Linked DNA regions of Anolis sagrei. The protein of the gene in region 1 purifies or fractionates together with the protein of each later gene. This does not show direct contact. Links are inferred from orthologs where the notes say so. Each region holds a gene or a part of one and is shown in the gene's direction. Other genes may lie near its edges.

What was found.
Region 2: the proteins of TRIM47 (region 1) and SATB1 purify together in Homo sapiens (affinity purification with mass spectrometry; 4 studies listed by BioGRID and IntAct, with this or other methods). This does not show direct contact. The link is inferred for Anolis sagrei from reciprocal best matches to the Homo sapiens genes TRIM47 and SATB1.
Region 3: the proteins of TRIM47 (region 1) and fructose-1,6-bisphosphatase 1-like purify together in Homo sapiens (affinity purification with western blotting; 3 studies listed by BioGRID). This does not show direct contact. The link is inferred for Anolis sagrei from reciprocal best matches to the Homo sapiens genes TRIM47 and FBP1.

What each region holds. Positions count from the first base shown.
Region 1 is NC_090022.1:118,481,883-118,491,760, reverse strand, and holds the start of TRIM47 (E3 ubiquitin-protein ligase TRIM47), read left to right. Parts: upstream 1-5,114; 5' UTR 5,115-5,188; coding exon 5,189-5,821; intron 5,822-9,878. Other genes in the region: E3 ubiquitin-protein ligase TRIM65, read left to right, coding at 140-765. UniProt on the Homo sapiens protein: E3 ubiquitin-protein ligase that mediates the ubiquitination and proteasomal degradation of CYLD.
Region 2 is NC_090026.1:87,916,924-87,927,099, forward strand, and holds the start of SATB1 (DNA-binding protein SATB1), read left to right. Parts: upstream 1-6,183; 5' UTR 6,184-7,107; coding exon of another isoform or gene 7,108-7,111; intron 7,112-9,407; 5' UTR 9,408-9,471; intron 9,472-10,176. UniProt on the Homo sapiens protein: Crucial silencing factor contributing to the initiation of X inactivation mediated by Xist RNA that occurs during embryogenesis and in lymphoma.
Region 3 is NC_090022.1:230,377,277-230,387,876, reverse strand, and holds the start of fructose-1,6-bisphosphatase 1-like, read left to right. Parts: upstream 1-5,816; 5' UTR 5,817-5,898; coding exon 5,899-6,068; intron 6,069-10,600. UniProt on the Homo sapiens protein: Catalyzes the hydrolysis of fructose 1,6-bisphosphate to fructose 6-phosphate in the presence of divalent cations, acting as a rate-limiting enzyme in gluconeogenesis. Plays a role in regulating glucose sensing and insulin secretion of pancreatic beta-cells.

The sequences.
Region 1 (9,878 bases):
TCACGATTCTATCCAGCCATAGCACATTCCTGTTTAGTGAACTTGCTGCATGAAACAGATCTCAGGGAAAAAGATGAATCGGTAAAGAATAGGATGGATTTCCCCCCTCTTTGTTCTGACATTCTTGCCATTCCCATAGATCAGCAGAACCTGACTTTTGATCCAAGCACAGCAAACAAATACCTGCGGTTGTCTGATCTCGACCGGAAGGCTGCTCATCCTCAAGACTTTCAAAAAATGCCAAATGAACCTCAGAGGTTTGAGCCTTGGCAGGTGATGTGTGTCCAGAAATTCAGCCAAGGCAGTAACTACTGGGAAGTCAAGATATCGGGGCAGTCCGCCATTGTTGGCGTCGCTTATGAAAGAATCTCGAGGAAGAAATGGGGCAGGCGAAACTTCACTATTGGGCAGGACCAGCTCTCCTGGGGCCTGCATGTCCAAGAAGACTGCTATGTGGCTTGGCACAACGGTGAACCTACTAAGATCAAAGAGCCTTTGTGCAAGTTCATTGGCATGTCTTTGAACTGTGACCACGGGGTCCTGAGCTTTTACGGTGTAGATGACAACATGAAGCCCTTGCATTCATTTGACACCATCTTTTCAGACCCACTTGTCCCAATTTTTTGGCTGTGTGAAGGCACAACTATCACCCTTTGCCAAAAGGCAGAAGGCCAAGGCCAAAATGATGGGATGCCTGCAGACATACAAACAACTCTCACCACTGTGGCGAAACAAGGAGATAAGCAGACTGCTACAAAACAGTGATAGTGAATCTTTGTAGCCTTCAAGATGCCCAGGTTTGTAGTGGTCTGTGTGTTTTTCTCCTTTGTAAGATCATCCCCTGAGACATTACCAATTTCTGTCTCTTGCAACTAAAGTTGTAACTAACATGCAACTTTGAGAGTACTTACTAATCACTAAGAAACTAGACATAGAAGTTGACCTATCTTAGCCATCTGTTTCTTGATGTAACATCCTGGGGAAAATGTGGCATTCTAAAATTCTTACCTTATTTTAAGAAACTCAGCAGTGAAAGTGGATCAGGTAAGTGATTACAGGAAGCCTCCAACTTACAAACATCTTACATATGACTCCTAGTTACGAACGTATCTGTGGATGTGGGGGGGGGGGGGGGAGGTACTAGGTCGACCAGCCAGCATCGCATGTTGGGTCTTTTGCAGTGTATGTTGTGGCTCAGCCAGATGAAGATGAGGGGTTTGGAGGTTCAGGGCCTGATGGTTCTGTAGGTGAGCAAACAGACGTTGTTTTAGAGCAAGATGGTTCTGCAGCTGAGGGAATGGAATGGGTTTTGGAGCAAGATGCTGTTGCTGAGGCAAAGTGTGAGAGTGAAACTGTTTTGGAAGCCAACAGGCAAGGAGGGGAGGATAACATTAGTTCATCTGAGGAAGTAGCTGGGCTTAGAGATACCAGGCTGCTTCTGAGGGAGCAGAGATTCAGGTGCAGAAAAACCCATGAGAGAGAGAGGCAGAGGCAGGCCTCTCAAGGTCAAAGGAATGTGTTCATGTTTTGCAGTCCTTAAATTAGTGAGAGAGCTGTTAGGATTTTAGATCATGCAACGTCACTACTGGAGTGAGGAACTCCTGTCTTGTTCTTGGTTCATGCCCTAGTTCAAGACCCAAGATTTGTGATCAAGTTTTGCTTCTTGTTTTATGGGTTTACCTTTGGGTTCATGCCCATCTTCTGCTCCTGGTTTCCTGGATTAATGTTCATATTTTAAGCATTGTTTTCTGGATTTACCTGCTTTTTGGACTTGCTCCTTTATTAACACTTGGATTTTTACCCTTCTATTTGCTTAAGGTGCCTTTGGTCCTTTTTATATGTGTTTTATCAATAAACTGTTTATTGCCATGTTTGGTTCCTTGATGAGTGATGTGAGCAAGGTGAACTCCTGCTGAGGTGCAACAGTGTAAGAGATGTAGTTTTAGAAACTGCTCTCCTTCCCAATTTCTCATGTATGAGACTAGAAGATAAGACCGGTGTTTGGCAGTCACCCAGCACTTAAGACCTTGAGACATAGCTACTCTTCAGTTGTTTACTTGCTTTGTATGTGAGCCCATAGAAATACAATAAGTGAAAGTGGGCCAATAGTGAGAAAAGACAAAACTTTATAACCAATTAGAAATGTACTGTTTCAATCTGCTTCACCTCCCAGAAATCCTAACAGCTGGTAAGCTGGCTGGGATTTCTGGGAGTTGTAGGCCAAAACACCTGAGTACCTACCGGTTGAGAAGCACTAGCTTCTAATCTAGGAAATGTTTAAAACCCATAGGAGGGTCTCTCCCAGGCTTATATTCAGGAGGATGACTTTAATAATAAATGGGTACATCTAATATGAAATCAAACCGGGATTGTGGCGCAGCTGGCTGAGTGTCAGCTGCATTAAGATCACTCTGACCAAAAGGTCATGAGTTCGAAGCCAGCCCGGGTTGGAGTGGGCTTCCAACCAATTGTGTAGCCTGTTGTCGACCTTTGCAACCTGAAAGACAGTTGCATCTGCCAAGTAGGAAAATTAGGTACCACCTTGTGTGGGGAGGCTAAATTAACTAATTTACGAGGCCATAAAAAAGACTCCAGCAAAGCACTCCAGCAAAAGCATGCGGGGAATGCGGAAGTACTTCATCAGTGTCGCAGATGGACGATGAAAGCGACAGCTCCCCTGGAGGCCAGAAAAAGTTAAATAGCCTCTGTGTATGTCTGTATACGTTGAATGTCAAATTGGCATTGAATGTTTGCCATATATGTGTACATTGTAATCCGCCTTGAAAGCAGCAGTGCCGGGGCAGCAGCGGCAACAACACGACGTTCAGCCTGCAAAGGCTGAATGGCCACCTGATAGGAGTGCCTTGATTGTGCTTCTCCCTTATGGCAGGAGGTTGGATATACATCCTGCATATCAGAGATTTACATAATGATTCATAACAGTAGAAAAATTACAGTTATAAAGAAGCAACAAAAATAGTGTTATGGTTGGGGGTCACCACAACATGAGAAACTGTATTAAGGGATCATGGCATTAGGAAGGTTGAGAACCTCTGCACTACTGGCTGTTAGGTATTGTGGGAGCTGAAGTCCAAAACACAAGGCGGGCCCAAGCTGGCCCATGCCTGCTTTAAAGAAAAGCAATGACATTTAATTCTATTGTAATGTTTCACATATTTGTAGATTTGAAATTGCATTGAAATGTAAGCTGCTTTGGCCCCTTCCACACAGCTGTATAAAATCCACACTTAACTGGCTTATATGGCAGTGTGGACTCTGATAATGCAGTTCAAAGAAGATATTGTGGATTAACTGCCTTGATATTCTGGGTTATATGGCTGTTTGGAAGGGCCCTTTCAGAGCCCTATATCCCAGGATTTGATCCTAGGTTTTCTGTTTATCCCAGATTATCTGGCAGTGCAGACTCAAATGATCCAGTTTAAAGCAGAAAACCTGAGATCAGATCCTGGGATATAGGGCCTGTCTGGAAGGGCCCACAGTCTCCTTGTGAAGGCAAAAAGTGGTGTATAAATAAACATAATAATAATATTGTAGAACAGAAATCTGTTCCTGGTTTGAAATTGTTATTTTCTGTTTAATTGTGCAGCTCTTACTTTGAAAGTAGTAGTTCTCCTCTAGAAACGTTGTGTGGCTGCCACAAACTATGATGACAAGAGGTTATGGGAATTCGGCCGACAGGCTGATCAGTAAGCATATTCATGGGTTCCCTGCTGTTCTAGTAAACCTGTTACTACAACATGCTTGAAGTCAACATTTCATTTATTTGTAATTTGAAAGAAATGTTTCACAATATATAAAATAAATGTATTGTCGAAGGCTTTCATGGCTGGAATGACTGGGTTGTTGTAGGTTTTTGTAGGGCTATATGGCCATGTTCTAGAGCAGGTCCCCCCTAGGGGGTGAGAAGGGCGGGGTAGAAATGACCGAAATAAATAAATAAATAAATAAATAGATGCGGCCCTCCAGGGTCATTTACCCAGCCCTTGCTCAGGGTCAACCTACGTCTGAAACGACTTGAAAGCATGGAACAACAACAACAATCCTATCTCATCAGCCAAAAGCAAGGCCCACATTTCCCATTGAAATACGAATAAGTTTATATTTCTTAACATTGTTCCTCATTTTAATTATTGAATTGTTTTAAAGTGTTTTTTACACTACAAATAAGATATGTGCAGTGTGCATAGGAATTCATTCATTTTTTCCCAATTATAATCCTGCCCTCCAACAGTTTGAGGGACTGTAACCTGGCCCTCTGTTTAAAAAGTTTGTGGACCCCTGTTCTAGAGGCATTCTCTCCTGACGTTTCGCCTGCATCTATGGCAGGCATCCTCAGAGGTAGTGAGGTCTGTTGGAACTAGGAAAAAGGGTTTATATATCTGTGGAAAGACCAGGGTGGGACAAAGGACTCTAAATGTTTCACAATATTCCCGTGTAAACTATAGTCCGGCCCTCCAACAGTCTGTGGGACAGTGAACTGGCCCCCTTTTCAAAAGGTTTGAGGACCCCTGGAGTAGACCAACTAAGATTGGCCTCTGGGGGGATTTTAAGTCCACCCAAAAACTAATCCAAAGGCCTATACACACGGGGAACTAAAGCAGAGGAGAGGAAAAGGCAGAGCTATGACTTGATAGAGGTGTTTTTGTCCTCTTGCCTTTTATCACATCAAGCCACGGGGTGCGGTAGCTTTCCACGCAGCCTTCAGGTTAGTAGACGACTCCAGCCCTTCGAGGAAAATGTCAGATTTTTTCCTACCCGAGTCTTCAAATGCGCAGGAGATTCCGAGATTTAAACGAGCAAAAATGTGCTCTTGGAAACGATCGCTAGAGGGCGCTCGTCCGCGGAAACTTAACGGAGGTCCTGATGTCTCCGCAACTCCAGACAGACACCAGATGCGCTTTTCTCTGTGTGTCAACTTCGGCCCTCCGGGTGTTTTGGACTCCAACTCTACCGGCTGTTAGGAATTGTGAGAGTTGAAGTCCAAAACACCCGGAGGGAGAGCCGAAGTTTGCCCAAGCCTGGCTGTGGCAGAGGCAGCCTGGGGTTCCTGCGGGCGGGAAGGCGGAGGGGCGCGCGGGAGGCCCCTCCCCTCTCCTCCCCTCCGGAGGGGATCCGCCTCTTTGGCCGAGGGCTCCTGCCCGCTTGCCTTCCCTCCGCCTGGTCCTCGATGGCGGATGGCTCTCCGTCCCCAGCGGCGGCGGCGGAGGGCCCCTTCGTGTGCCCGATCTGCCTGGACGTCCTGAAGGAGCCGGTGACGGTCCCGTGCGGGCACAACTTCTGCCTGGGCTGCCTGGGCGCGCACCGGGCGGGGCAAGGGTCGGCCTCGCGCTGCCCGCTCTGCCAGGAGCCCTTCCCGCCGGGCCTGCAGCTCCGCAAGAACCACGCGCTGGCCGAGCTGCTCCTCCACCTCCGCCGCCCCCCCGCCCTGGACCCCGCGGAGGAGGAGGAGGCGAGCCAGGCGGGCTCCCCCCGTTCTCCTCCTCCTCCTCCTGCGGGGGTGCTGTGCGACTTCTGCGCGGAGGAGGAGGGCCGGGCGGCGGCGGCGCAGTCGTGCCTGGTGTGCCTGGCCTCCTTCTGCGCGGCCCACCTGCAGCCCCACCTGCGCAGCCCGGCCTTCCAGGGACACCGCCTGGTGGACCCCGCGCCGCGCCTCGAGGACCGGCTCTGCAAGCTGCACCTGCGCCCCCTCGAGGCCTTCTGCCGCAACGACGGTGCCTGCCTCTGCCTCCTCTGCAAGGCCGACCCCCAGCACCGCGGGCACCACGCCGTCGCCCTCGAGGACGAGATCCAGCGCGCCCAGGTGAAGGCAAAGAAGGAGCGGGCCAAGCAGGGCCTCTCTCTTATCAAGCGGGCAGGAGCAAACATTCCGGCCTCCCTCCAGCCCTTCCTTAGGCTGTTCGGAATGGTGGGAGTTGAAGTCCAAAACACCTGGAGGGAAGACCCAAGGCTGATAGTATGATAGCTGGGTCCGGAAGCTCCAAGCGTTACGGAGATGCCGCATCGCTCCTTCGGGAGCGCAGTTTCCGCAAGAGAGACTTCGCTCATGTAAGCCAGGCCGGAGACAGAGAATAGAGAAGGAATGGAAGAGTTCTTGCATGGTGAAACCCTTACCCTAACCCTGAACCCTACTATAACCCTAACCCAAACCCTAAACCTTACCCAAAACTTTACGCTAACCCAAACTCTAAACCTTACCCTTACCCTGAACATTACCATAAGCCTAAACCTAACCCCTTACCCAAACCCTAAATCTTACCCAAAACCTTAAGCTAACCCAAACCCTAAACCTTGCCCTAACCCTTACCCTAAGCGTCCCCTCCTTTCTATCCTTCCTTCGCTCTCCCTGCTCTCACTCCACCCCCTCTCTTCCCTTATTCACAGCCACCTTTGCAGCATCTCCGTAAGGCTCGTGGACCCAGCTATCAAAATATCACCCTCTCTCTTATTAAGCGGGCAAGGGCAAACATTCCCGCCTCCCTCCAGCCCTTCCTTAGGCTGTTTGGAATGGTGGGAGTTGAAGTCCAAAACACCTGGAGGGAAGACCCAAGGGTGATAGTATGACAGCTGGGTCCAGAAGCTCCAAGCAGTACGCACATTCCGCAACGGCAGTTGTAAATAAGGAAAGGGACCAGGTGAGGGCAGAAGAATAGAAAGGAAGGGAGGGTTAGGATAAGGTTTAGGGTTAGGATTAGGGTAAGGTTTAGGGTTTGGGTTTGGGTTTTACCATTAAAGAACTCTTACATTCCTTCTATAATATCGCGTTGCGTGAACAGCGCTCCCATAGGAGCGAAGCAGAAACAGCATAACGCTCCTAGCTTCCAGACCCAGCTATCATACTATTACCGACACTTAGTTTGCCTGTGCCACTATAAAGGGAAAGGTGATAGTATGATAGCTGGGTCCAGAAGCTCTGAGCGTTACGGAGATGCCACAAAGGTGGCTGTGAATAAGGGAAGAGAGGGGGCGGAGGGAGAGCGAAGGAAGGATAGAAAGGAGGGGATGCTTAGGGTAAGGGTTAGCTTAGGGTAAGGGTTAGGGGTTACAGTTAGGGTACGGTTTAGGGTTTGGGTTAGCATAGGGTTTGGGTTAGGGGTTAGACTTAGGCTTACGGTTAGGGTTCAGGGTTAGGGTTTCACCATGAAAGAACCCTTACATTCCTTCTATATTATCTGTCTCCAGCTTGGCTTACATGAGCTAATTCTCTCTTTTGCAAACAGTGCTCCTGAAGGAGCGATGCAGCATCTCCGTAATGCTCGGAGCTTCCGGATCCAGCTATCATACTATTACCAAGGAAATAACCTGTTACCCAGTTCTGACAGTCATTTTAGTGGATTGCTGTGAGTTTTCCAGGCTGTATGGCCATGTTCCAGAAGCATTCTCTCATGACGTTTCGCCCACGTCTATGGCAAGCATCCTGAGTAGATCAATAGTGCATCTGGGCATTTCTAGGACCTGCAGTATGTGACCCCAGGTTGGTTGGTCTATAAAATTGATATAAACATTCAAATTTTGCAGCCAACAAATCAGTGTTTGTAAAGGCTCACTCAACAGGCTGGTTTTTCTTTCTAAGGAGTTACAGCTGCAAAGCCCACTGCATATTCTTGCTAACTGTTTTGTGTCAATGGGTGGTGTTCAGGAACTTAGTGCTGTTAGCCAATCTTTCATGATCCCAACACTGTGCAAAGGGGACTCCATTGAGGGCTGGAGCCCAAAGTTTAAGAAGCAGTGTTTTGGTTGGCCAGGTTTCTGATAGTCGAACTGCAAAACTGCTGGAGGGCCAAAGTTTGGGAATCACTGGTCTATACTGTAGAAGGTTGTGTAAAACTACAGCTTCTGTGATTCCATAGCATTGAGCCATGGCAGTTGAAGTGAAGTCAGTCAAGCTGCATTCATCCTATAAGGTTGAGTCTACATCGTAGAATGAATGCAGCTTGGCCCCAGTGGTGCAGTGGGTTAAACCGCTAAGCTGCAGAACTTGCTGATCAGAAGGTTGGCAGTTCAAATCCGTGGGATGGGTTGAGCTCCCACTGTTAACCCCAGCTTCTGCTAACCTAGCAGTTTGAAAACATGGAAGTGTGGCTAAATCAATAGGTACCGCTCCGGCAGGAAGGTAATGGCACTCCATGTAGTCATTATGGCCACGTGACCTTGGAGGTGTCTACGGACAACATCGGCTCTTCGGCTTAGAAATGGAGATGAGCACCAACTCCAGGAGTTGGACACGACTAGACTTAATGTCAAGGGGAAACCTTTACCTCTACACTGTTAGATGTTCCCAAAGCATCCTCCCCAAATGCCTGGCATTTCCTATTCTAGAAGCAGCCAGGAAGAAATTTGGAGCTTTGCATATTTATGGTCAGGTTCACAGTTTTCTGGCTAGAATGCAACATTATATTTCATAAATACTTGTTTACATTCTAGCCTGCTCCTACAACTTTGTATCTGTGTTTCAACACAAGTGGTTTTAACATTATTCTGTCCCTGCATCTGGAGAAATAGATTGCTATCCATGAAAACTCATGCTAAAATTCATTAACTGGCAGAGTGATGCTGGACCCCCCCCCCCCTTTCTCCCTGTTATTCAGGACTTGGAAATGTTACCTCTGTTGGATTTTGGAAGTTGCAGTTCAAAGAGTAACTTTTCCAAGCTTGGGAGAAATTACATGCCTGCAACTGGAGTCTGAGAATGAATCAGGGCTTTGTGGCAGAGCTGTGGGCCAAATCCATGACTTAGAGCGCTGAGTTTCAAATGGGTGGAGGAGCCTGCAAAAGTGATTATAGCAAAAGTCAGTCTTGACTACTCAGAAACAAGTTCTGATGAAATCAGTGAGGCTGATTTCCTGACAAGATTGTGAGCAGTACTGGGAAAAGGGATAGTATTGCTCTCCCCCCCCCCCCCCCCTTACACTTTCTCCATAGAAGCCAACAGGGGACAATATGTTGTTGTTGTTGGGTACCTTCAAGTTGTTTTCCCACTCATAGCAACCTTAAGAAAACTCTGTTACAGAGTTCTCTTGGCAAGAGTTTTCAGAGGGGGCTTCCCTTCTCTGAAGTTGGGAGAGTGTAACTTGCTTAAAGCAAAGTTACACTCTTTTCTTTCACAGTTTGAGTTCTCTTGTGCTGATTTGGGGGTCAGTTGAGAGATGTAGTCACATATTTTTTGCATCACTCATGGTCCTGCAGTCTTGGGGAAAACATGCCTAAGATGGACTGGAAAGTTAAAGGTGTTGAGAAGTACATACAGTATTGGATCTGGGGAGTTCCAGATGCAGGCGAAGAAAAAATGAGTAAGAGGTCTAAATATACAGATACAAAACTGAGGAAGGAGCATAACTTTGTGGCCACTGGCCATGCAGGCTATAGTCCCAAAAAAAGTAACTTTCTAAAAGCGGCAGTCTAAAAAAAGTAACTTCCCCAATATTTTCATAGAAAGTCCCAGGTTTGTATCTCTGATATCTTGGTAAAGGGGAGCCAGTTTAGTGCATTAGTCTGAGTGTTGGATTTTGGCCCTAGCTTAGCTACTGAAACATACCGGGTGAACCTGGACAAGTCATATTTTCTCAGCTTCAGAGGATGGTAATAGTAATCTGAAAAAATCTTGTCATGCAAAACCTAGGACAAGGGTTGTTCTAAGTCAGAGTTGATTGAAATAAATCTCTAGTCAGACTTGGCCACAGTAGTTCACACTCTGGTTACATCCTGAATAGAGTACTGCAACACACTCTACATGGGGTTGCCTTTGAAGACTGTTCGGAAACTTCAAGTGATCCAACAAGCGGCAGCCAGATTGCTCACCGGAGCGGGGTACAGGGAGCACACATCTCCCTTGTTACGCCAGCTCCCCTGTCTGCCAGTTT
Region 2 (10,176 bases), on another chromosome or scaffold:
TCTGGTAAATTATATTTTCTGAAATAAACATTTATCACAGTAGCCCCATTTAAAGTTTACTGAAAATTCAGAGCAACTTCATTCAGAATTGGTAATTAGCTTTTACTTTTCTAGATATAGAAAAAAAACCCCTTACTATCCACTGACCCCTCAGCCAAGAGATATTAAAGAGAATGCCTAGGCAAACAGCATTTATTGACAAAAAATATGTCACTCATCGAGTGCTAGAAATGCATCTTGCAAAGCACTCTAAGATGTACTGTATGTATGTGTATATATATATGCATGAATGTTCATAGAGAAGTGTGAAAAAGCTTTTTGCAGTGACCCTTTTTATATTGCCTCCCCCTGTATAAAGATGAACGGTCAATTGCTTTTCTACTAACTTGTTAACAGGCATTAAATGTGTATTTGGAACCATCTGCTAAGTGAAGTTGCTACATGTACTCAAAAAGTGAGGAAGGAGGCATACAGCTTCTTCCACACAACATTCATAGAAGGGTTCTCAAAGCACATGTGGAATGACAAGTACAATCACTTTATTTTCTTTGGGTCAACATTTAGGTCATGGTTTAGTAAAGAAAGTAAACATTTGTATGAAATGCGTAGCATTTCTTCTTTTGCCCAGTATAAAGGTTATTTTAAAAATGGGAATAGAAATGATAATATGAAGGGTTTATCCACTTGTGGGTGAGTTAAGTACTTTGAGGACTGTGCTACATTATATGGAATACAATACGCCAAATTCTTATGCTGGAGATAATTAAGATTTGAATGAATTATTCTTCTTGTATGAATAGGAATAGATCAAGATAAATTCCTGCTGCCTCTCCTCAGACTTTTATTTATGATTAGCAAATATTATCTCAATGGACAAACTCCTTTAACATTGGGGCTGATGTTGAAATACAATAAGAAAGCAGTATCTTTCCTTTGGTTTGGCTTGATTTGTCTCTTGACAGCAACTATAAAACTTAATGGGGAGCTCTGTATGACTAGGACCAGCCCAACCATTTGGCAGAGTGAAGTAACCACATCAAGTAACAGATTATTATTACATATTAATATATTGATTATGTTTTTTATTTCCAGGAAATGCCTTAGGTAGCAAAATAACTTTGAGAGAGTTGGGTACTATGTATTGTGACTTTTGGGAGTATTGCCAGTACAAGAATGGCACCGATCTGAGCCCGCATGCTTCTGGCAGCAAAACATATTGGGCTGGCCCTGCCTATGATTCTTCACCATGGTTTATTCAATGTGGCGTTCTTCTCTCATTCATGCTGCAGAAGTAATATCAGAACTGTGACATACAAAAGCCAACACAGGGCAGAAGGACTCACAGAACAGGTGGGTAAATTTAGCTAGATGTCCCTGCACAGAATTGAATAACCTCTTACTGTTTGATCACATTCGAGTATTTGGCATGTTGTTTCCAGCTGAAGGACATGGGATGACAATGTCATCTGAGTTTAAAATGGCAACCTGCAACTGGAATGCATTATATGATATCACTATAAGTAGTTGTGCAGGGATACAGTTTCCCTTGACACACATACACACACAGCCTTCAGAAACAGCTAGATCGACCTCAGCAATAGTATCTCAGAGAAAACACATTACTAGCTCAAACTGGTGAGAAGGCCAAGTCTTCAATACTAAGGCAGATATGGAATCCATTATTTATTCACCTCATTACTAAATGAATATATTCACTGAGCTTGAACAGATCCAGAACACAGTGGTCAAGCTCAACCCAAGCCAATTTGCTTACCGAGGAAAGAGATAAGATGGCATTCCTTTCTCCATTCACATAATTTATATAGTAAAGGTAAAAGTTTCCCCTGATATTAAGTCTAGTTGTGTGTGACTCTGGGGGTAGTGCTCATCTCCATTTCTAAGCTGAAGAGCCGGTGTTGTCCGTAGACGCCCCCTAGGTCATGTGGTCATCATGACTGCATCGAGCGCCATTACCTTCCTATTGGAGTGGTACCACTTGATCTACTCACATTTGCATGTTTTCTGTTAGGTTGGCAGAAGCTGGGGCTAAGAGCAGGAGCTCACCCCACTCCCTGGATTCAAACCACCAACATTTTGGTTAGCAAGTTCAGCACCTTGGTGGTTTAATTCACTGCACCACCAGTTATCTGTTAAATCTTAATTTGCAGGATAGTGCCCACTATTTTAGAGGGCAATGGACTATTCGGGGTGGGGGGAGAGAAGCAAGGCAGACTCCATGACAGAGACAGAGCTGTTTTCAAGAGAAAAGCCAATGGACACTAAGGGGCTGTCCTCACTGCTCCTTAGTGCTTTCCTTCTAAAGCAGTTGCTTCTACAGTCTCGCTTATCCGACATTCCGTCTCATCCGACGCTCCTATCCTTTTTCCTCCAGCATTTCTCTTTCAATTAAAGGAGCACTTCCCAACTCTCTCTCCATTCCCTATAAGTGAAAAAGGTGAGACAAGGGGGGTGAGGAAGAGGCAGGACCGGAAGCAGAAGCATCCTTCCTCCTTCCCTCTGTGATTTCCATGTTCCTCTTCCACATCTGGACACTTCCTGCTGGGCCACTCTAACCCCGAGGCATTGCCTTACATTAACCATTTGAGTCCCTGTTGTAGTATTCTAGGTGTCTAGCACTGCATCAAATGGCTAACAGTAGGAGACTCCATATTATTCAACATTTTCGTTTATCCGACGTTCTGTTGGCCCATTTATGTCAGATTTATTGGTCGTGTCAGGAGTGACTTGAGAAACTGCAAGTCGCTTCTGGTATGAGAGAATTGGCCATCTGCAAGGTCGTTGCCCAGGGGACACATGGATGATTTGATGTTTTTATAATCCTTGTGAGAGGCTTCTCTCATGTCCCCGCATGAGGAGCTGGAGCTGATAGAGGGAGCTCATCCGCCTCTCCCCGGATTCGAACCTGTGACCTGTCGGTCTTTCCTCCTGCCGGCACAGGGGTTTAACCCACTGTGCCACCAGGGGCTCCTGTTTATGTCAGATAAGCGAGACTCTATTGTATTTGCCTAATAATGAGGCTGGTCATAACAACTCAGGTAACACCAGGGCACAGCCATTTGTGTTGGCTTTGCAATGACTTCTAGATAGTTATTGTATCATATTGCCAGTAACACTTGTTCTTAGTGCATACCTCCCCCCTGTACGAAGGTACCTTTTTCGACCCCATTTCGGAAGAGTTCCCCCCTCGCAAATAGTAAAGGTATCTCACCCCATTTTTACCTTTAGTATTTCACTCTATACATGCGGCCCACTCACTGTTTTGTGTTATGAATGATTTTATTGCAATTTTATATTGGTTATAGTATTTTATAGTTTATGTTTTATGTAATTGTTTATGTTCTTGTTTATGTTTGTATTCTATTTATTGTGTTGCGTTGTTGGACTTGGCCTCATGTAAGCCGCCCCGAGTCCCCATTGGGGAGATGGTGGTGGGGTACAAATAAAGTTTATTATTATTATTATTATTATTATTATTGGGACAGGTAATGCTTTGACCACTCCCTCGTGATTTTTAAGAGCAGTTAACTGTGTTGTTTCAAAGTACCAACATGCATATCAGGAATCACTCCTTCAGTACTACAAAGCTATTTAAGTTATACACTTAGTACCAAAGTACTCTGATTCTTAGATATACACTCTTTTGATCATACTGACTGGAAGTTGGACGATGTCCAGTCTATGGAAGACTACAGATTCTCTACCTGTCTGATGGATTTGCAAAAAAATTAAGAATATTTTGAAAGGACAGGAATCTGAGATTGAACCAGCAGTGGACTGAAGTTGTAATGTGTTAAAATTATTATTTTTTCAGTTACTAAAATGTAGCCAAAAGTTTTGTCTTTCTGAACTAAGAACTGCCAAGTTGGCATTTTTGTCAGCATACAACAACATATAATACAACCTTTACTTAGGTTTCATTCTGATGAATAATAATTAGTATTATTAATAATTATTATTATTTCAGAAATGGTATATTATTACCAGTTATTAAAGAAAGGTGTGCCCTTATAATCATTGCCCGGGCATTGTTTGCATGCCAAAATATGCCTATAGTTAAATCTGTTGTGAAAGAAGCATGCATAATCCAGAAATTAAAAGGAGCAGGGTGGATTTGACACTGAATTCCCTGCTTTCAGATCAATCAGGTAGCTTCCTGAGGTTTGGGGGGCTGGGAAAGGTTTGTAAGGATTGTGTTTCCAAGAACTTTGCCCAGGTTTCTCTATACTCTGCTCCTGTGAAGACAGGAAAGGTCTCAAAGTCTGTCTGAGAGGCTGCAGGGAGGTTTTAAAAGGTACCAAAACGGGAAATGAACCCGAAGGCAGAGAACCAACAGAGCCGAATACCTTCTAAGTAACTCTAGTGGGGAACGCCAAGCAGGGATACAAAGCTCTCCAAATCCCAGGTTTAAAGGCAGCACTCCTCCCTCCCTCTTTCAATGGATTTCTAGGAAGCCAGCTTTCTCGGTTGCCGGTCCAGGTTTCAGAGCAGAAGAGCCAATATGCTCGCATTCTGACACAGAAGTTTCCCTTTCCTTTTTCCACTTCCTCGCCGTGTGTCTCTTTCTCTGTGTCTCTGAAGCCACGATCCAGCAGTCGAAAGAGTGGCCCCTCCCTCCATATATATATTTATGATCTTCCTCTCGGTATTTTTATATGTATCACAATTTCAGAAAGAGAGGAAGATCATAACCCGTTCCTTCCTTCCCGATCTTCTCCCGAGCCTTAAAATATTGATCACCTTTGTTAGATTTTGGAAAACTGCCCTGCTCGGTCATATTCTTCCTCTACCTCCCACCCCTCAAACATTATTTCTTAGTTGTGAGTTTTTCCATGTTCCAGAAGCATTCTCTCCTGACGTTTCGCCTGCATCTATGGCAGGCCAGGCATCCTCAAAAGTCGCTTCCAGTTACTACAATGCAACCTGAGCCCTGCCACATCCACTGTGGAGGACCTCCTTAAAGTAACACCAGAGGCACTCCCAAGTGGCCAGCTACTGGTCAAAGGATATTATTTAGTATAAGGCCAAGTTTTTAAAAACTTTAAAAAAAAACCCAATACTGTATACAGTACAACTGTACCCCCAGTTCGCGTCTGATATGATAAATACATATCCCCAGAGGTTGTGAGGTCTGTTGGAAACTAGGAAAATGGGGTTTATATATCTGTGGAATGTCCAGGGTGGGAGAAAGAACTCTTGTCTGTTTCAGGAAGGTGTGAATGTTGCAATTGTCCACCCTTGATTAGCACTGAATGGCCTTGTAACTTCAAAGCCTGTCTGATTGCTGCCTGGGCATCCTTTGTTGGAAAGTGTTAGCTGGCCCTGATTGTTTCTTGTCTGTAATTTCCTACTTTGAGTATTGTTCTTTATTAACTGTTTTGATTTTTGAGTTTATTTTTAATACAGGGGAATTCCAGACAAGAAACAACCAGGGCCATCTAATCACACACACCCCCAACAAAGCATTCCCCCAAGCAAGGAGCAGCCAGACCTTGAAGCTGCAAGACCAGTAAATGCTAATCATAAAGTTGGAAGAGACCTCGTGGGCCATCCAGTCCAACCCCCTGCCAAGAAGCAGGAAAATCGCATTCAAAGAACCCCCGACAGATGGCCATCCACCCTCTGTTTAAAAGCCTCCACCACACAGAGTTCCACTGCTGGTGGTCAATTGCAACATTCACACCTGCCTCAAGCAGAGTTCTTTCTCCCACCCTGGACATTACATAAACCCCACTTGCCTGGTTTCCAACAGATCTCTCAACCTCTGGGGATGCCTGCCATAGATGCAGGCGAAACGTCAGGAGAGAATGCTTCTGGAAGATAGCCATAGAAGACAGCAACCCAGTGATCCCGGCCACGAAAGCCTTCGACAGTACATTATTTCTTAGATTTGAAGTGAGCAGCAGCTGACAGCCAAGCATGTGGTGTATAAATATTAGAGTGGAGGGGGGAATAGAGAAGGTGGGGGTGAGAGATAAATAGAGAGATAGATAGAAAGTGGGGGGAAGAGAAGGAGGAGGAGATAAAAAGGGGAGACTCAGCAGCCTTGGTGGTGAGCCTGTGAGGGGCGCTGCTCTCCGGGAGGAAAGAAGGGGAGCAGCGTTGAGGAAAAGAGAGGTGGGGGAAAGAGAAAGAGGAGGGGGCAGGGATGAGAATAGCGTTGAAAAACAACAACAACACAAGCCCAACAGTGATGAGCTCCTTCCCGCCGCACGGGGACTGGGAGGGAAGTGTGTGCAGCCTGTGAGTGCGTCTCACCTGACTTCCTCCTTCCCCGGGGCGGCGAGGGAGGAAGGCAGAAAGAGAGAGAGAGAAAAAGAGAGAGAGAAACAGGCAGGAAGGCAAGCAGGCGCGCTCACCAGCCAGCCCCACACAAACAACAACAACAACAACAACAACAAAACCTAGGGGAGGGTGGCAGAAGGAACGGCAGACGCCGGCGGACGAGGAGAGCAGAGGAGACAAGCACAAAAACAATAATTATAACAACAGCAGCAGCAGCAAGAAGGGAAGCCAAGCCAACCCTCTCCTCCTCCTCCTCCTGCCAACCTTTCTTCGCCCCTCACTCCGTCTCAGTCTTCTCCGCGGGAAGAAAAGAGCCAGAAGGCAAAGAGACAAAAAGAAAGAGAGAGAAAGAAAGAAGAAAGCGAAACAGAGTTCCTGATCGAGGAAGGAAGCCGAAGGAGGAGCCCCGCGTCGGGCACTTGGTGGGCTTCAGTGCCAGCCGAGAGAAAGAGAGAAGGTGGAAGAGGCAGGCGGTGGGTCGGTCGGTCGGTGGGGCGCCGCCTTCTCGTCGTCTCCTTCCTCCTCCTCTTCAGTCGCCGCCTGCCAGGCAGTTCAGGAGCAGAGGAGGGAGGGAGAGAGGGTGGCAGGCTCTCTCTCTGTCTCTCTCTCTCTCTCTCTCTGTGCCCCCTCCTCCTTTCCTCTTCTCTTCCTCCTCCTCCTCCTCCACCTCCTCCTCCTCTTCCTCCGCGCTCCTTCCTTTAAACGCCCACTCCTGATGGCTGAAAAGACAACTTGAAGTTCAGTGCAATTAACTTCGCCGGCGCCGGGGAAGCGGAAGGTGTCGCCCAGCCTCGCCGCGCTCTCATGAGTGAGTGACTGACTCCGTCCTTTCTCGCCTGCCTGACTGCCTGCCTTCCTTTCCTTCTTTCCCTCCACTTCCAACACCCTCTTCTTTTCCCCCTCCCGCTCTTTTGTTGTTGTTGTCGTTTTGTATCCAATTCTGGGTGTGAAGAGTTCAAACTTGAGTTCGGGTAGGAAGGGCTGAGGGGTTGAGAGAGCTTGTATCTATCTACTTCTGAAAGTGAAGAGTTCACACTCAGCTGAGGGAAAGCCTTAGAGTGACCTCACAACCTCTGAGGTTGTTTGCCATAGATGCAGGTGAAACGTCAGGAGAGAATGCTTCTGGAGCGTGGCTACATAGCCCGGAAAACTTACAGCAATCCTTAGAGGGTTGTTTTAGTTTTTTTCGGGCTGTATGGACATGTTCTAGAGGGGTTTCTCACTCATCTTTAGGGGGGCTTAGAGGGGCTTCTCACTCATCTTTAGAGGGGCTCAGAGGGGTTTCTCACTCATCCCACTTTGTACCCCTTTTTTGGCTGAAAAGGGGTGGGAGCGACTATTACGCGGTGAAACCAATTCCAGCTATGTGGCTTTATTCAGGCAGCAGCTTTACTTCCCCATGTACCTATTCCCTAGCTACCAGCGAAGGTCTTCAGGGCCGAGGTCTTCGTAGGGTTTTGGGGTTTTTTGTAAGTTCGTGGCTTTTTTGTTTCTGACAGACATTGGTTTTTGGTGAAATGGCTCGGAGGCACCTCCGAGAGGCACCTGCCGGCGGGGAAGTTGAGGCAAGCGAGGTCCGTGGCGCCGGGAGAAAAGTTTGGGCTCAACTCCGTCTCGCCTTCCCGGAGCGCAGCCAGGAAGTTTTAGGTTCAGGGGCCTTTGAGGCGAGGCTGAGGAAGGAAGGAAGGAAGGAAGGAAGGAAGGAAGGAAGGAAGGAAGGAAGGAAGGAAGGAAGGAAGGAAGGAGACTCAGGGGAGATGCTGGCGGCGGGAGGAAGAGGAGAGGAAGGCCGGGGACTCTGACAAGACTGACAGGAAAGTGAGCGAGTTTGAAAAGGCGAGGTGAACACTCTCTCGCCAGACAAGGGAGAGGTCAATTTAGAGGCGCTTTTTGGCGGGAAGAGTTCGTGTTTCCCAAAATTGAGGGCATTTGATGGGCGGGATGTGTCCAATTGTCCCTCGGATGACCTTAAGGAGGCGGCTTCTCGCTCACACCTTCGCAGGTGCCTCTCTCTTTCCCTCGCATCCCGCCTTTCCCTGGGCAGCCTCCATCCCGCCTCCTTCCTTTTAAGCACTGGGTGGTCCCTGAAACGGCACCCCATAAGGAAATGCAGTTTCCTTTGGCTATTCACCTGAACTTTTCCTAAGTGTCCCCTCCAGAAGGAGGCACTGGATCACTCATCTTCCCCTTTCTCCTCCCCTTAACAAAAAATCCTGATTTTGGAAAGCTTTTGACAGCTTTAGAAAGCCACATAGATCCAGAATAGTTTCAGAGGGTACCTTCTGAAGTTGTGTCAGAATACTTTAGTTTCAACCAGCCTTTTTCAGAGGTGTGTCTCAACAGGTTTGGCGATGACAGCTAACTTGTGCTGGAGCAAAAGTTTCTCTTTTAGTGGCAGAGAATTGCTTTGCTTTGTTGGAAGGGAATTCCGGCTGTGATTCTTGGCATCAGTACCATCTGATTTGCATTTTATTTGAGAGATCCGTTTAAACTTGAGAGTCCCCTCCCCAAAATAAGGTTAAATGTGAATTTCTTGGGCAAGCAGCATAACTTCCCAGTGAAGCATTCTGTAGTTAAATTGGATGATGTTCTAATCTGACAGATCGTTATTCTGTGTTACTAAAAGATATGACTGAGAAACTGCCACTTATTTTTTCTCCCCCAACTATTATTTTGGTTTTGTGCATTCTTACTTACAGTCTGCTCCACTCTGCTGGCAAACATTAGCACTCCAGCTTACACTTTTTTCTTTGACAAATGTGCAGACAGGCATAGCATTAAGAGACATCTTAAATATTAACAACCTAAGCATCTGTTGTGAAACAAATTTAATATATTTACTCTGTTTTTCCTCACATTGCTAAGAAAGGTTAGAATATGTGAAAATTCTAACTTAAGCTGGCAAAAAGGAATTGAATGAGTATTTCACTGTCTTGTCAACAGTGTTTACACCGATCACCAAATATGGGGATCTTAATTTGTGCCATTGTTTCAAACAGAAAACAATATTCATACTGTACAGAGGCGTGAACGTAGCTTAATAAGCTTAGGCGCATTATAAAACTTGTCTTCCTAATCTGTTCCAACATTCACTTGTGTTTCAGATACATCGCTTATCAATTAGAAGCAATAACACATAGACAGTATAAACAATATGAGATTCAAAAAGTAAGTGTGCAGCATAAATTTCTATTTGTATATCTAGGTATGTAAAGTTTCTTATGATATGTAAAATCTCCATAGTTGTGACTTCTAAAATCACATGGCCAATGAATGAAAAGGATCCAGAAGAGATTCCAAAGGATATATCCTAATAAAAAAGTAGAAAATACTTTCATAACCATGTGGTTATTTTTATAATAACCACATTCATTTCAGTTAAAATGCTTGATAAGTAGTAATTTGTATTAAAATACATTTATCAGAGCTGAAGTATGTTCATTTCATGGGGCCTAAAAGGGAACTCTACATGTTCCCATGCTAGACTATTGATCTTTTAAATTGCATAGTAATTCCATAGGGAGTTCATTTTGTATCTATATATTTGTTGTAGTTTAGAAAAGAAAATAATAACAATAATAATCTTTATTTCTAGACCGCCCTCTCTCCCGAGAGGGACACAGGGTGGTCCAGGATCATATTTGTGTGCATAAATTAGACAGGTATATACGGAAAGATATACCGGTCTAATGGAGACAATACACTAATTATTCAAATTTTGAATTGCTGTCTTAGACTAACAAAATGATTTTGGCATTCCGGTTATATTTTGTGTTATAGGCCCATATAGGTCTGCTGACAACCACCTGTTTGGTATTAATAGGGGAGATCAATATTGCTAGGCAAAACATGATGTACTACTTGCAAAATAAT
Region 3 (10,600 bases), about 110 Mb from region 1:
CCATGAGGATCTGGACCTTGTTGAGCAATATTTAAATAACAAGATTTGATCTCTCTCCCTTCTGGAGAAGAACATGTTTTCTTTAAAGGTTTAACTGGAACATGCATTTCATTGGCACCAACGTCAAGAAAATATTTCTTTCAATATATGGTCCACTTAATATTAAAATTTGCCTAGCCTAGGCTTCTATCATATATATATTCCCCTTTTTGTTGTATTATATATATATATTTAAATTAAAATACAATACTACAACAATTAGCTATTTTCATATAAGCTGTAGTTTCACTATTGACTTTGCAACCTCTCGACTTTATTTGTGAAATGAAAACAAACAGCTTCACAGGGCTATTATGCTGCCTAAAAGTCAGATTTCGAAGCTAATTACAATGGCCCAAATCTTGTTGAATTATAAATTAATAGATAGGTAAATGCCACAAATTTAATGAATACAATCTAGTAGGGAGCCAGAGTAGTGTAGCGCTTTGAGCGTTGGACTATGACTGGAGATTAGGGTTTAATTCCTTGCTTGGGCATGGAAATCCACTGGGAGTCATTAGAGAAGGCACACACTCTCAACCCCAGAATCTCTTGATTAAAGTCACTAACACACTCTATCTGGAGCTGCAACAGGACACAAACCAATGGCTATTAAATAATGGATGCAATCGCATACACTTAATGTCATAAATAAAAACATGAAATAAAACGCTACTGCTGTAAATGATTCCTAAAGACGTGGCGCCAAGATCGAATATTAATGGCTTTATGAAGTCCTCCTACTATGTTAAATCAATATGTGAGCATCACAAGACCCTATTGCTATAATTCAATCCTTAATAAAGGCACCACATTCTTTACTAACCATGTATTTGGCAGCTATGACTAGGTCTTTCAAACACACGGTTGCAGTGATGTCTAGCAAAGGCTGATTCTACACTGAGTGTATAATGCAGTTTGAACTGCATTATATGGCCAGTGTAGAATGCAGTTCAGTGTAGTATAAACTACATTATATGGCAGTATAGATCCAGCCACAGTTGTGGAGAGCTGTATTGAAGATGGAATCTTTTCCTTACCTCCTCACATGTTCATGTTGTGTGCTTTTGTGAGCACAGCTTGGGTGAATAGGTGATTTGCAACCAATCTGATTATTTTCTTTCTTTAAAATTTAAATTCGTATTTCTACAATGTTTGAATCATTGTAACTTTTAGGTGGTATATAAATCATACTGCACCAGTTAGCTCTTTGGGGGAAGGATGGGGGAATGACACACTATCTGTGAAGTTTAAAATGATTTGGCCAGGTTCCAATGCACTTACACTCTAATCCTAATAACAATGGTAGTTGGCTATTTAGGCTACTGCATTATCTGTGCTACTGTAATTGCCTTAGGGACTTATCACACCAACGTTTTATGACATATTATTCTGTTGGCAATCAGCTCCGGCCAGTCTTCTGAAAGTTGCTGATTGTGGATGCTCTCTATCGCACCCTTGCTGGAGCTACACAGCATATTTTTGTCATCTGCATGGATGCATCACTGCCACCTGCCTTATACCCCACCCCACTTCTTCGTGTCTAATTTTTTAAAGAATTAATAGTGTTATGATAGAACATTGCTATAATGATAGGGTGTGCTATAGATTATGACAACATAACAGGAAAAAAATCTGAATTTGGAAGAGTGTATTAGAGGAAATGAAAAATACCAGAAAAGCTATCTTCCCTGTCCAAGCACCAGAAGTAACAGGCCAGATTTCCTAGGGAATCCTTGACAAAGGGATAACCTGCCGACACTCAAACCACTAATTCACAGATAAAATACCATGAGCTATCAGCACCTGGTTACTGAGGTTGGATCTACATTGTTCTATATCCCAGGATCTGATCCCAAGTATCTGCTTATCTCAGATTATCTGACAGTGTAGACTCATATAATCCAGTTCAAAGCAATATAATCCAGTTCAAACCTAATCTAGAATCATTTCCTGGGATATATAGGGCAGTGTAGACCCAGCCTGAATTGTTTTTGGTAAAGCTCATTAATGGATTGTTTACTGGGTTTTTAGTGACTTCACAATGCAACAATGATGGTATAATAGCATGATGTGATAATGCCTTTAATGTGTCACTGTATAATTGCCTGGTAAGAAGGTCAATATACTGCCCTGTTATGCTACTGGGGAAAAGGGAGCTGGACTTTCTATTATTATTGTTTTTGTTGTTGTTGTTGTTGTTGTTGTTATTTGAAACACAACAAGATGAGTCCACAGCAGACAAGATAACTCTGCTGGCTGTTGTATTGGATCACACGTCGGACACTTCCCAAGTGTGTAGGACTGTGTGATGTATCGGTGAATAATGCGTGCAGATCCCAGTAGGGTGGCTTTCTGCAACTGGTAGATGGTAATTTTATCAGTGCCAATTGTGTTTAACTGCAGGCCAAGGTCTTTAGGCACTGTACCCAGTGTGTCAATCACCACTGGGACCACCTTTATTGGCTTGTGCCAGAGTCTTTGCAGTGTCAGCTTTTCCAGTTGTTTCTCTTCAATTCTGCTGTCACCTGAGATTGCAACATCGACAATCCATACTTCGTTTTTTAACACAATTGTGAGGTCAGGAGTATTGTGCTCCAAAATAATAATAATAATAATAATAATAATAATAATAATTATTATTATTATTACTATTATTACTATTTAGACTCTGCTTTATCTCTCCCGAAGGGGACTCAAAGTGGCTTAACATAAAAGCATTAGTACACAATTCCAAATATAAAGCTATACAAACATTAAAGCAGAATTAAATATAAACAGTATTAAACATTTACAGTTTAAAACCATTCAATGCATATTCAAATTCAAACCACAGCACCTCCTGGCTTGATCTTTAAAACCTTGATCTTTAAAACCCTGTCTGAATAAGAAGGTTTTAGCTTGCCACCAGAAGGACAGCAGGGAGGGAGCCTTTCCGGCATCCCTGGGAAGAAGAGAGTTTCAGAGTCACGGGGCAACCACCAAGAAGGAAGGCTCTCTCTCTCTCTCTCTCTCTCTCTCTCTCTCTCTCTCTCATTCCACCAACTGGGCTTGAGATGGAGGTGGGACAGAGAGAAGGGTCTCTCCTGACCATGGCTTCAGCTCTTTGGGCCAGCTGAAGTTTCTGATCACCCTTCAGAGGCACCCACACATAGAGCATGTTACCACAATGGCCAGATCTGGCTTCTCAAGGAATGGGCACAGTTGGCACACAAGTTTTAATTATGCAAAGGCCCTCCTGGCCACCGCAGATACCTGGGCCTCCATATTCAATGCCAAGTACAAGAGGGTCCCCAAACTGAGAACCCGTGTCTTCAGAGGGGAGTGTAACCCTATCCAGCACAGACTGGATCCCTATTCTCTGGTCTGCCTTCCAATTGGCCAGGAGTACCTCTGTCTTGTCTGGATTAAGTTTCAATGTTTTTGCCTCATCCAGTCCATTACCGATGACAGGCACTGGTTTAAGTTCAGGACAGCTTCCTTGGCTTTAGGTGGAAAGGAGTAGTAGAGTTGGGTGTCATCTGCATATAGGTGGCACCAAACTCCAAAATTCTGGGAGGCCTCTCCCAGCGGTTTCATATCTAGTCATAAAGCTTTTCAATATGTTCATTTACATTAAGTAAACTGGGGGGAAAAATCCAAGCTAGAAATTCAATATACACTTACAGCATTTTCTTGTATTCTTCTGGAAGATTTTCCTTGGTGTTGGACTAGGGGCCCTTCCACACAGCCATATAACCCAGAATATCAAGGCAGAAAATCCCACAATATCTGCCCAGGGCCCCTTCCACACAGCTGAATAAAATCCCACATTTTCTTCTTTGAACTGGAATATATGGCAGTGTGGACTCAGATAACCCTGTTCAAAGCAGATATTGTGGGATTTTCTGCCTTGATATTCTGGGTTATATGGCTGTGTGGAAGGGCCCTAGGACTCTGGAGACAAGGGTTTGAATCTCTTCCACTGAGCCATGGAAACCTGTGGAGTGACTAATCCACTGGGTGACTCAGCCACACACACACACACACAAAAAGGCAACAGCAAACTCCCCTTGAAAAGTCTTGCTAAGAAAACTCTGATATGCTTTCCTTCGGATCACCGTGAGTCAGCAGTGTCTTGACACACAATAGCAGCATCAAACAAAATCTTTACTAACCAAAGAATGCCACCCTGCCCTCTATTACTGTAACAGACTATTGAGGCCCCTTCTACATTGGCATATAAAACCCAAATTATCTTCTTTAAATTGGATTATATGACAGTATAAACTCATATAATCCAGTTTAAAGTAGATGACATGGATTATCTGCTATATATGGCAGTGAGGAAGGGGCCTAAGTTTGTGGATATGTCTAAAACAACAAACAAGTCTTTTCAGATCTTCTACTGACAAAGAAAATAACCTTTTCCAAAACCTGTTCTGGGGAAATGTTATTTGTCAGTCACAAGACATGTATATGATCAGATTCACAATATGCTCTGTCAAATGGGCTGAAAGGAAATTTCATTTGGGGCCTACATTTGTTTAGTCCAAATAGAATAGATTTGTTGAATCAATAGTAACACCATGTTCACTTCTATTGATTCAACAAATCTAATCTAATAAGGATTTATTAGATTGGACCTAACCCTTAGTATATGCAGAGGATCAAATTTAAGAAGTAGATTAGAGGGCCAGTTACAGCAACACCCGTTAAGCTTTTTGGTGCACTTTTTAAAAACGCACACATATACTTCTTAATAATTATGCTCAAACAGGGCAGAAATATCTGTTGTATCCATAAGCAACTTCTTTGAAAGTCAAATTATTGTGCCTTTGAGAGTAGTAGATGGGTTAATAATTAAAAAGATAGTAGCTTGTAATGTCACTATTTGGTCATGATATAAATATGCCTGATAAATCTGCAGAATCTGAACCCCATTCCAGCGTTGAATGCCTCTGCCTCGTGATTCTGACAAAATCAAACACCCGGAGATGTGCTACTTTTACTACTTTCATCCAGAAGTAGAGAACTGGCAAGATAGTATCAGTGGAATCAGGCCCGTAGCCAGGATTTTGTTGGGGGGGGGGGGGGGGGAGGACTGAATTTTTTTCAGGGGGGTTCGGGGGGGGGGGGGCTGAGTTTCGGGGGGGGGGCTGAATCTGAGTGAAAGAGGGTCTAGCCTAGCAAACCTTTTGTATCATTACCCCAATACCCCCATGCATATGGGATATATTGAGTATGGTGATCAGATCATGATATGAATAAACATAACAGTTTAAATAATGCACCAGTAAGGCCTTTTCGCGAACCACCATCAGAATTTCGGGGGGGGGGGGGCTGAACCCCCCCGAGCGCCCCCCCCCCCCCCCCCCGCTACATGCCTGAGTGGAATTATCTGATTATTTGGCAGGCTTCAAGTCCTTCTCACACTTAGCTACAATTATTTCCATGTTCAAAAAGGAAAACAGAGTTTCTCAGCAATGAGATGCAGAGAACCCTTTGTATCTGCTGGGGTTTGGTTCCAGGACCCCAAAGACACCAAACAGTCGCTTAAGCAGCTGAGGGAGAAAAGGAAGGGGCCTGAGGCTGCGAGGAATGATGGGAGTTGGAGTCACAAACACCTGGAAAGCCCAAGCTTGCCCAGGCCTGACCTACAGTCTAGATTCTTCATGGTTTGTCTATTACCGCCAATAGGCCCGCAAAGGAGGCGTCTCCCCACGCGCGGGGTCCGGATTGGGCCACTGGTGTCCGCCCCTCCTCCTCGTGGCCGGAGTTCCGGGTTTTTAAAGGGAGGGCGCCTTGGTGGAGGATCTCCTCCGTGGACCGGGCCGGGCAAATTTTGGGTCCGCGCTCTGCTCCCACTCCTTGGCCACCATGACCGACCGCTCCACCTTCGACACCAACGTGACCACGCTGACCCGCTTCGTGATGGAGGAAGGGCGCAAGGCCAAGGGCACCGGGGAGCTCACCCAGCTGCTCAACTCCCTCTGCACCGCCGTCAAGGCCATCTCCACCGCCGTGCGCAAGGCGGGCATCGCCAACCTGTGAGTGACAGACAGAGAGAGAGGAGGAGGAGCCCTTCTCTCCCCAGAGCCCCTTCCCCTCCCCTCCCCTCGTGGACACCCACAATGTTTGCCACTCTTGGTCTCTCCTGATGTACCTACACTCCAGCTTCTATCATCCTTGGCCAAGTCAGATAGTAGGAGCTTCACCTTACAGCATTCATTGGTCAACTTGGGCCTTCCGGGTGTTTTGGACTCCCACAATTCCTAACGTCCTCAAGACCAGCCACGAGGAAAGGAAGGGGCCTGAGGCTGTTAAGAATTGTGGGAGTTGAAGTCCAAAACACCCAGAGGGCCCAAGTTGGCCCATGCCTGGTGTAGATGCACCCATATGAACAGTATTGGAGATGTATTGTCGAAGGCTTTCATCACTGGAAGCACTAGGTTGTTGTGGTTTTTTAAAAGCAGAAAACCTGGGGTTTTTTTTACCTCAGGTTTTCTGCTTTAAACTGAATTATATGATTCTGCACTGCCAGATAATCTGGGATGAACAGAAAACCTGAGATCAGATCTTGGGATATAGGACCAGTCTGGAAGTGCCCTTTGAGAGTAGAGTTGTGTGGATTGGACCTACTGAGCCCCCTTCTGCTTTCCTAGAAAGAGAGTGGTGAGTAGAAGAAGGTAGTGGCTAAAGGAAGAGCATCGTTCTAGGTGACACATTGTGTCCATTCCTTTCTGCTGTAACACCAAACCCTGTCTAAGATCCCAACATCCTTGGCTCCTTCTTAAAAGGATGAGTGCCCAGTAGGAGACATTAAGGACCTAAATCTTGTTGGCTATCATAGTAGAACCATTGGATCTACTAGATTTGACTATGTGTTACCTCAATGTTCAACAGCTGAGGACAGGCTTAACAAGAGCTCAGCTGGAGTCCCCTTGTATGAAATGCTTGGCACCAAAAGTGTTTTGTTTTGGAATACTTCTATTTGCATATATATATATATGCATATTAAGATGTCTTGGAGATGAGACCCAAGGCTAAACATGAATTTGATTTTCGTTTTGTATGCACCTCATACACATAGCCTAAGGGCAATGTTACACTAGATTTTAATAGTTTTGTGCATGAAGCAAAGTTTATACTCAGTGTAACATCAGAAAATATAGAAGTCATTCTTAGCCACGTGTGTGGACAATTTCATATTGTAGAGTATTTCAAAATTGTGGACAAGGGATGCTCAGCCTGTACTTCATTTGGGACTTACCCAAAAGATTTTAATGGAGGTGGTTAATCAGTTGATTTTCCTTTTCATTGTCATTGCATTGGAACCATTTGGCTTAGGAACTTAATACTTGTGGGGGAACACATTTCTATATGTACCAATCTCAATATGAGGTTTTCTGAATGTATCTTCCCCTGTGAATCATCTCGGAGATTAAGATTGTCTGGGGAAGCCCTGCTCTCAGTCTCACCTTCTTCACAAGTGCGGTTGGTGGGGACGAGAGACAGGGCCTTCTCAATAGTGGCCCCTCAATTGTGAAACTCCCTCCCTAGTGATATCAGGGCAGCCCACTCCATCCTAGTGTTTAGAAAGAGAGTCAAAACCTGGCTCTGGAAGCAGGCGTTTGAAAAATAGAGCAGTGCCGGAATCTTAATATGGAATATTTGCATTTTGACTACAGATTAGCCTTTAGACTACGACTCTGGATGATGTGATTTATTGAAATGTATTTTATTATGCTTATTATGTTTAGATTTTTAACTCATGTTTTAACTGAGGTTGTATGTTTTAAGGCACTGTGAAGCGATTGTAAGCCGCTTTGAGTCCCCATCGGGGTAGAGAAAGGCGGGATATAAATAAGGTAAATGAATAAATAAATAAATTTCCCATCACTGAGAGCAATATATGGAGTGAAGATAGCCTTTTCAGCTGTGGCTCCTTCATTTTGAAATGTCCTCCCATTGGGCCTCCAATTGTCAGCAATACTGCTTTTATGTAGGTGCCACATTAAACATGGATATTTTATTAAAGCCTTTGGGCCTTGTTGGTGTACTTTAAACAGAATGGCCAAGGGCGTTAAACACATTGAATATAAATTAATAATTTGTCTAGCTTTATCAGAGCTAGACATACAGACCTCCTACCAGTAGGTAAGGGGGGATTCTGAAGACAGGTTTGCAGCAGTTTCCAGCTAACAATAATATAAGTATAAATGACACAAGAGACCCAATTCCGTTTTCCACATGTGTTGGAAGACTGGCCACCACTCTAGTTGGAAAATGATGGGAATTGTAGTTCAACATATCTAGAGTTGTCAAGAAACAAAAAGTGGGTTATACTTGCAGTATACATTACATTCCTATACAGTGGTCAGTCCTTCCAAATTAAATAAACCTAATTCTGAGGTAAATGGGAATAAGAGTTCAATCTTGGGCCCTTTCTACACTGCCATATAAAATCCAAATTATCTGCTTTGAACTGGATTATATGGCAGTGTAGACTCATATAATTCAGTTCAAAGCAGATAATCTGGCGGGGGTGCTTTGAATGTGATTGTCCTGCTTCTTGACAGGGGCTTGGACTGGATGGCCCATGAGGTCTCTTCCAACTCTATGAGTTGGAATTTCCTGCTTTGAAAATCTGGATTATATGCAGTGTGGAAGGGGCCTCCATCTTGTCCAGTATATATTTTTCTGTTTCTAGCTAGGAAGCATTGCGTAGTTGGCTGAAAACAGCTTTAAGGCTAAATAGAGAAGGTGATTTTTGGTATTTCAGAGCACTACAGCAAAGGGAACAGAAGCGGGTAATTTTTGATATGGTAATGCTTCCCTTTTTTGGAACAGGGTGCTGGAAACATGTTTTTTTCTGTCTTATTGAATAGAACAAAATCTCTTTTGTAATGCACATTACACTAAGAAATATTATATGCCAACATCCGCTTAAGTGTGCTTCCTCTCTCATGAGCAAGTTATGATGCAAACGTAACCGTTTATAACTCAATCTCCGTAGTAATAGCATGAAGAAACCAGTGTTGACACCATTCTTCATCTGTAGTACCTTTGTTGGGACATAGTTCTTTACCACTCTTACTCATTCAGTTATGTTGGCCCTTTCCCTCCGTGTGCCAATGTAGCTCATTTAAAGCTGAGCCAACACAGTAGCGGTCTGCATTACTGCTGATATACTATGACCCACTTATCACTTTAAGATTGTGTTGTCGAAGGCTTTCATGGCCAGAATCACTGGGTTGCTGTGAGTTTTCCAGGCTGTATGGTCATGTTCCAGAAGCATTCTGTTTCAGAAACATTGGGAGAGAATGCTTCTGGAACAAGGTCATACAGCCTGGAAAGGTCACAGCCACCCAGTTTAAGATTGGCTTAATGTGTAACTGAGACAACTCAGACTATAAGATATTTTTATGTATTCACATCAGTTCACTAGGACTCTGTATTTTAATTTTTGTAGGGATTAATCAAAACTAGGATACTGAAATATTCTAAATACAGCCAGTCCCCAAGCTATGAACAAGATTGGTTCTGCAGGTTTGTTCTTAAGTTGATTTTGTTTGTACATTGGAACAGATACCTTTAAGTGTAACTCCAGCTAAATGTGTGTGTGTGTATGGCCCCTCTGGTGGCGCAGCAGATTAAACCACAGAGCTGCTGAACTTGCTGACCAAAAGCTTGGCGGTTCAAATCCAGGGTGGCTGGAGTGAGCTCCCGCTGTTATGGCCAGCTTCTACTAACCTAGCAGTTTGAAAACATGCAAATATGAGTAGATCAATAGGTATCGCTTCTGCAGGAGGGTAATGGCTCTCCATGCAGTCATGCTGGCCACATGACCTTGGAGGTCTCTACAGACAATGCCGCTCTTCGGCTTAGAAATGGAGATGAGCACCCCCACCCCCCCAGGATTGGACACAACTAGACTCAATGTCAGGGGAAACCTTTACACACACACACACACACACAAGCTTTGGATAGCACAGGAAGGGTTAACACCCCTGTGGAGTTTGCTTTGCTACCTGTGCCCCGGTTCAGAAGATTTCCTCTCACTTTCTGTTCCTGTGATCACTGGATTTTGAAAAAAATCCTCTTGTTGTGGAAACAAGGATTGGTTAGAAAGTTTCAGTGGAGATACCTTTTCCCCATGATAACCCAGAAGTGAATTTCCCTTCCTAGAGGTAGATTTCTCTCACTTCCTGTTGTCTCACCCCTGTCCTTAACTATGAGTCATTTGTAAGTTAGATGTTTGTAACTCGGGAACTGCCTGTATGCACCCGATGGGGGACAAGTTGCATATACTGGGGATGAGTTTTCAGAGGAATCCACACGTAAGCTTTAGCCTTTGCCCGGCATTGTTGCCTTAGAGATAGGTAGTATTTACAGTTCAAGGTACATTTCATGTAGTATCAGCCAGGCCCGTAGCCAGGATTTCGTTTCGGGGGGGGGGGGGGGGGGGCTAAAAAATTTCAGGGGGGGTTTCGGGGGGGGCTGAGTTTCGGGGGGGGGTCTGAGTCTGAGTGAAAGAGGGTCTAGCCTAGCAAACCTTTTGTATCATTACCCCAATACC